2 linked regions of the Lepisosteus oculatus genome follow. The protein of the gene in region 1 purifies or fractionates together with the protein of each later gene. This does not show direct contact. Links are inferred from orthologs where the notes say so. Each region holds a gene or a part of one and is shown in the gene's direction. Other genes may lie near its edges.

What was found. Proteins that work in one complex are often made in the same cells at the same time.
Region 2: the proteins of rapgef2b (region 1) and magi1b purify together in Homo sapiens (co-immunoprecipitation; 3 studies listed by BioGRID and IntAct, with this or other methods). This does not show direct contact. The link is inferred for Lepisosteus oculatus from reciprocal best matches to the Homo sapiens genes RAPGEF2 and MAGI1.

The regions. Positions count from the first base shown.
Region 1 is NC_090696.1:23,459,698-23,463,452, reverse strand, and holds the start of rapgef2b (rap guanine nucleotide exchange factor 2), read left to right. Parts: upstream 1-1,446; 5' UTR 1,447-2,028; coding exon 2,029-2,097; intron 2,098-3,755. UniProt on the Homo sapiens protein: Functions as a guanine nucleotide exchange factor (GEF), which activates Rap and Ras family of small GTPases by exchanging bound GDP for free GTP in a cAMP-dependent manner.
Region 2 is NC_090699.1:49,447,808-49,451,562, reverse strand, and holds the start of magi1b (membrane-associated guanylate kinase, WW and PDZ domain-containing protein 1b), read left to right. Parts: upstream 1-908; 5' UTR 909-1,452; coding exon 1,453-1,750; intron 1,751-3,755. UniProt on the Homo sapiens protein: Plays a role in coupling actin fibers to cell junctions in endothelial cells, via its interaction with AMOTL2 and CDH5. May regulate acid-induced ASIC3 currents by modulating its expression at the cell surface.

The DNA.
Region 1 (3,755 bases):
GCATGCTGCAATTTTGCAGGGTTGTTATTGTGAAAAATAAGCACACGTACCACAGTGATGGAACCGCATCCCGTTGAATCAATGTATACACACGTGAATTATAGTTTGATGAATGATATGTAAAACTTTAAAATGATCAATATGACTTATTATGTATATAGTACCACCAGTATTCTATTGGTAAATGATAAGAACAACAGCAAAATAAATACCTGTAAAAAGCATTCTTTGACTATATACCGGATGTCCCCTCTGAGCACCTGAGTATTTATTGCTGGTCATATTTTACTTCTGTCCTTCGTCTCCTTACTTTTTTTTTAATTTAAGGACGCTTTAAACCAACAACTTCCCTCTAAGGACAGGAAGCCAAGTTTACAGGTACTCCGGGGAGGTGAGTGGAGCGTTGCTATGGCCTCGGTTGCTACAATATCTGTTTTGTGTGGCAGACACTACTGCAGCAGGATTTTTAAACGACAAGTAATGCCTGAACGTCCTTTTAGGAGGTCAAACGAAGGGCTTTTGTGTGTCTTGTACAGCAACTAAAGTAATTTTAAAACTAACATGATTGCGTATTAGCTGACTCGACAGAGTCAAATACAGCAGCTACACTGAAACCAATCATACGACAATCCAGTTAATTTTCTAACAGAGCGGTTTAAACAGCAAGATAAGCATTAATATAATAGCGACTCCAGAGAATAATGTGTACATAACTGTATTTGTTTAGTACTTATCTTTAATCTTCGGGATAAATTGTATCTATTAACAAAAATAGAGTTCAAGAACATATAAATTATAATTAATAAATACAGTAAATGGCATGTGAATTCATCTGTATGTTTCAGAAACAAAAATCATACCTAGACTTTGATGTGTTTGATTTTGTAATATTATAACATATAAATATAAATTATAACTCAAAGGGTGTATTAAAAAAGTAAGATTTTATGTGGTCCTACAGTTATGAATAATACCGAAAGCTGTACCTGTGGACAGTTGTTATTCAGTATGTCACTGAACTTTTATTGTGAGGTACTCAGTAATTACCCCCATTTTACCTTATTGGGTATTGCGCCATTGTACAGTGATATGGGTTTCTGTAAAGCATTTACAACTAAGAATATTATCACTGCGAAAACAGTTCTGCCTTAATATCACTTGGTGTTTACAATGCTGATCCTCTGCTTATAATTTAACAAGGCAGCAATCTGTAATGGGCAAACAATAATTGTTTAATCGGATCACGGTTTCATTGTCTAACTCTCAGATGAAATCTTCTTTGATTATTTTCTTTGTTACTCTAATTTGGTTACGAGGTGGCAGTGAAGCTTTCTGAATTATCCCAGTATCATTTCTGCCATTCCGGTTTCTTTTAATAGGTGGCGACAAAGAGCTTTTTAAATTTGTAAATTCTTCCATGAATGATATTGTTGTCAATGGACTCGCCCATAAGCTTTCCTCCGTCAGTCACCATGGTGGCACAAAGCAGCAAGCCGTGGCGGTCTTCTCCTCAAATGTAATGAACAAAGGATACTAGTTTTTACTATTACTTTACAGATGGCCTAAATGGGTAACTGTAAAGTGGTAAAATTTTATTCATTCTTTTAAAAGGAAACCTGGAATTGTTTCAAAATCAGAATGCAGAAGATAAGAGACTAACCTTTCCCGGCGTCTGGATAAAGGAACGTCTGTTTCACTGTTATATTTTCTGAATTCACCTTAATTTAACTGGTCACAGAAAAACTTAGAGAAATATTGTAATCCACAAGAAGGATTTGTTCCGGCGGCAGATCAGAAGAAGGGAGTACTATTCTTAGCCTGATCCCAAGCCAGTCCTCCGGGATCAGGGACTGAATACGAAATAAACCCCGTGGCTCTGACTGTGGCCTGGGGATCGAGCTTCAGCTGTCACATTTTCAAAGTCTTTAAAAACAAACTTGAACAAAGTGGACAAGAGATTCACTATTTGATTTTTTAAAAAGAAGACACGCATTTGTGCCGTGCACTTTCGTATTTTTTACAGCAGGAATGGCGTCCTACGTGGATAACAGTTTCCGACAGGCGGTGATGAAAAACCCGGCCGAGCGGACGCAACAGGTCAGAAAACATGAGCTTTTTAATTAAAACCGTCGTGTTTACACCAGGTTGCACGGGATGAGTCTTTCAGAATTTCTAGCGGTGATAAGGTTGCTTAAATTAAAGTTTTGCATCCGATTTTCGTATGTAAATATGCTCCATAGTAGTAGCGTTTGTGTGATTGTCGTTTCGCAGTTTTGGCTATACAAAATCAAACTGGGATTTCAGATTATCCTTTGATGAAACATGGGGAAAACTGATGCTTCTTATGTTTGAACTTCGCAGTCTAAATTATCCATAACCTTCCCATGAATGTTTTTTCTTCACTGTATTTACAGAATGTCCCCTCTTTTTTTTTTTAAAAAAAGGATGTTTATGTTTGTGTAAGAAACAAGGGTTAAATACTGTAGCTTCACAATATGAATCGATCACAAACATTTTGCGGCAGACTGATTATTTAAGAGTTAATTATTTTAAACGTAACGTTTGCGATTGTGAAATGAAAATATCGCCGTATCATCAAGTTTAGGTGTATTTTTAAGTGAATCATGTAGTGGTCCTGATTTCCTGGTCAGCTGCGCCTTTCTCAAGGAGAGGCGCTGCATAGTCTTTCTTGGCCCTTGTAAAACGCCTACTAAGCCTGGCTCCTTTGCAAAAAATGGTAGCTACAGTAATTCATCGGTGAATCGGTGGGCACTCGTTATATGAAGACCGTGCATTTAGAAACAGTGTAAGTGAAGTTGTGGTAATGTGTGCAGCTGTTCTATCGTTCATCGAGAGCGATCAATCAAAGTCCCAGTCATGTAGTGTTTCAAAGAATTTCCACACGTGAGACCAGAATTCTTAAAATATGGTGTGCATAGTTCAGGGGGTTTCATAGGTTCCGTGATGTTCTCCTACTTCATTTCTTGTTGGATCAAATACCATGTTGTATAAAGGAAAACTTGCAATAGTATTATGAAAGTGTTGACGAACAACGAACAGTGCTAACCTCTCACTGAGATCAAAGGTACCACCTGATAAATAGGCCATATTTCGAATAGTTTATATTGCTTAGAAATAAGAAAACAGTTGGGGGTCCTTTCTTACAATAGGAATGTATATTAATGCAAAATAAACAAGCTCATCTCAGTTTTTGACATTTATTTCTCATCATAAAGCACACAATGTGTGTGAAGTAGTCTCAGTGGTACCTCTGGGAACCTCTTGAAAATCCTCTTTCTCCTGATGCAAAGTAAGCCTATTAACTGTGGTTAGGGGCAATTGCAGTGTCTGGTGAGATTACTTACCTTAAACTTTAAACTGGTCTTGAAAGATAGACAGCTGTAAGAGACCACTTTTGAATAAAATTAATCTTGAATGTAGTGTTGAAATGTAGTTAAATGCACAGCTAAATCTATTAAGATATTTTGTATCTACGGCTTTCATGTAGTGTAATTTTCATTCTAATGTAAGTTGTTAAAGTAGTTCCTGGTACCATTATTTAAGGTGTTTGATATTCAGGCTGCTGGAAAAGATACAGCACAACATTAATGCAACACAGCGATAGTGGTGTTAATGTTTGTTTTCTGATTTAGGATTCTGTATTGTTTTCACTGGTCTCTGTTTTCTGCAGTTCAGGTGGTCTGGAATCCTTTACACGAAGTCTGATAATAAAAATTAGGGTAATGTCATGATAA
Region 2 (3,755 bases), on another chromosome or scaffold:
ACTAGAGGAATCAACCATTGACATGAAAGCCACAGTCCAGCTGCTTCTAGAGATGGGGCCTGCTCCAGAGACAGAGGAAATTACCCAATTTCTTGTTTCTATTTACTTATTTTAAACTGTGCTATACCCCTTGGTATAAATATCAGGATACCCCCCAAAAACCATCTAGGAAAAGACCTTAGCACATATTCAACATTTTCTACCCAGTCTTATTCCATTCTTCTGGTCAAATCCTATTCACAAGACTGTGATGGAGGTGGTATCGCTCGAGTGTTTCCTTGGGTTTTCCTTGGTAGGATTTAGGAGGTGTGGAGGGAATGGGGAGAGCTCCTCTCATCCTTTTCAGGCCAATCAGACCTTGGCACCCAATGATAGCATGAGGGTTCTAATATTTTGTCCAGTGAGGGTATATTCCTTTGTGCATTATTGAAAGCTTTTTAGTTAATGTCAAAGTTCTTCAGTTACTTTACAATTAGATCTATGGATTAATACTATTAGTAACAAACAAGATATATAAAAAGACTGTAAGCATATCTGTTAACAATCCAAAGCACATTGGAGACTGACCGCATTTTCGTTTTTCATTGTATGTTACCTACAGTATATGGTCACCGAGGCTTTGTAGATTACGAAAAGGATTCATTTTTTTGTAGTTCCTCACGATGTTTGTACCATGTCTTAGAAAGTAAAAAAATATATATACTAATTCAATTGTATATATGTAATGATTGTTGTAAGTCTTTAGGAAGTTCAGTGATGAAAAATAGAAATTGAAATCAGTAATTACATTGCGAGTAATGTGAACTCGGCATTGTTCGGCATTAGGACCCTGTGATAGGTGTGACCAGGATTTCCCTTTAGGGCTCCGGGAGGGTTATGTGACGCATGCGCCTACTTTACTATGGCAAGCTCCAGATAGCTGGATAAAATGTAACAAAACAGGCAACAACATTGTACCTGCTTAAAGGAGCCGCAATCGTACCGAAACCTCTCTTTCAACTCCACCAGTGAGTAAAATCAACACTTTCTTTTGGGGCTTTTGATAAGAAAAGACGAAAAGTTAATGCAAAAATTAAAAAAGAGAAAAACTGGAGATAAAACAAGCGTGGACTCTGGACGGTCGTGAAACTAAAGCAAGTCAGAGACGGATAAAGATCGACTTGTGGAGGATCAAGCAGTAAAGATGTTACCATAGAAAATGAGAAAACATGAGAAACAAACCAGGAGAGAAGAAAGAACTGAAGCTCCACTAAAGTGGACTTTTGTATCGCAATGGCTTGATTTTTTTTCTAAACATTAAGAGCTTTAATTATGATTCCTGCTTGCTAAAACAAAACAAAAAGAAAAGTTTGCAGCTTGTCCTTGGGATATTGAATTCTATGAAACAGCTGATTTTGGCTGTCCCTGTTTCTGTTGGTGGGGCCACCTGTTTTCTGTTGGTTTGTATTCACCATGTCCAAAGTGCTACAAAAGAAAAACCATTGGACAGCAAAAGTTAATGAGTGCGCGATTATCAAAGACGCTCACGGAGAACTGAATGTGGAGTTGCTCGGGGGAGCAGAGAATGGAGAGTTTCCGTACATCGGGGAAGTTAAGGAAGATGTCGCGGTTTTCAGAGAAGGAAAATTAACCGAGGGGGAATTGATCCTGGAAGTAGAGGGGCTCGCAGTGTCTGGATTGCCCCTCTACGATGTACAGACAGTGATAAAGAACTGCAAGGGTCCCGTCAGGTTGAGAACTGTAAAACAAGGTAGGTGATGCAAGCAGCCGACATCCGACATGATGATGTCCCTAAATCCCTCTGCGCTCATCCAGTAGCATTTTTTCCTGTTTTGGTAGGGAAGGACAAAGATAAGTAGTTTACCCAGTGAGTGAGGGTTTGTAAACAAATTGCTACAATATTTAACTTTGTTTTATTTTAGATACCAGTGCTGGCACGATAGATGACCTGTCTTATGGTTTAGACTTCCATATTTCTGTTACACAGTATACAGTATAACAAAAGTACAAAATTATCCCCATCCCATTAGTGTTAACTTATTTGTTTTTACTACAATGAAAACAACGATCTTAATAACAATGCTGTGAAATTGTAAAAAAATGCTGTACCTAACGACAAAACACCAGGTGCTTTGTTTCCTTGAAAGTGAGGCTTACAGTACAGGAACAGGGGTAACTGTAGATGGCCAGTTGCTCTGAAGTGTTTGTCACATATTTTGTCCTGGGGTTGTGGACACCTTAATATGGCTGATTAGCCCTGCACAGACACATATGGGCTATAACACATCATTTTCTAACCTGTTTGGAAAGAGCAATAGGCTTGACTGTGGAGAACAGGGTCTGTAATACAGTATATTTCTTTTACACCAATGCTCTGTTGCTCTGAACCTATGAAAAGCTTTTTAATGAACATAGTGAAATAGGAAGTTCAACAAATTGTCTTCTTTTGATGTATAACAACACATTATTGCTAGAAAACATTAACTGTCTGGATCCTAAAATGCAACTTCCAGTCCATTTAAGAACATTTAAATTGACAGGGTTCCTCTTGCCTTTGTTGGGTCACTTACAACCTTACTTACTTCAAGTTGTAGCAATGGCTTCATGTCAGGATGGTGTCTTAGAGTGTAGAAGCCATTCAGCTTTTGTCTGGTTTACATCAGGTGTAACTTCTTTTTTAGAATTTCTAATGTCTGTTTTGGACGCTTGCAGATAACAACACAGTGCTTTGATGAGAGTCATCAGGATCAGTGTGACAGATTTTCCATTTATCCGACCTGTAATAGCTGGCACACAGAGACTGAAGTAACCCTTACCAGTTCTACCAGCATTGCTCCTCCTTCTGTGTGTACCAGTGATACACAGTGTGTTGGGTGCATACAGTACATGCACAGAGGAACATTGATTGTAATGCATCTTTATTTATAGCTTCCATCACATGTTTCTAGTTTATTTCCTTCCAGGCATAAAATTGTGGTGGTTTTGTTCAGATACATGAGTCACTTGAAACAATTTCATGCAACGGACTGATCAGCTTCATTGGGACATATTTTTCATTTAAGTTGTTCTGTGTTTTCATTAATGCTAAGAAGGAACATGGGGATATTTCATTACAGATGAATAATTTAGGGAAGTCATGATGTAGTTCTAATTCAAAGTGGAGTACACTGAGATAATATGTGAGAGAAGTTTGTTACATTCAAGGGCTAAGCATTTCAAAACAAAAAAGATAGACGTCAGTCTGACATATGGTATGGTATGGTTTTTTATCCCATAGAAATCAGCATTCAATAAATAAAAAAAAAACATCTTGCTTTAAGCTATGAAGTAACAGAAATAACTGTTTTTGTAAAGCAAGTATAATAGAATGCTTTCCTTTTGGCTACGATGATTTATGTGCCAATACAGATTATGCTGTAATATTTATATACTTTATATGGTGTAAAAATGCAGTTACAATTTGTGGATGTTTTGAGAAATAACCATTCACTCAAAACCTTTAATATTGTTCTTAACTTTACTTATTAATACATCTGAGTTTGGATGAAGATAGACTGAGCTTATCATTTGGCAATCTTTAATTATCAGAAATTTCAAAAACTAGGAACTCAACAACTCAAGGTAACCCAGACCTGAGTGTCCAATATGAAGTGCTGTTGCAGCTAATTCATCGCATTTCCCAAGGCAATCTAACTGACATATTGTCAAATGTTTCTTGTTATTGACATCATTCTTTCCCCAAAACCATACAATTA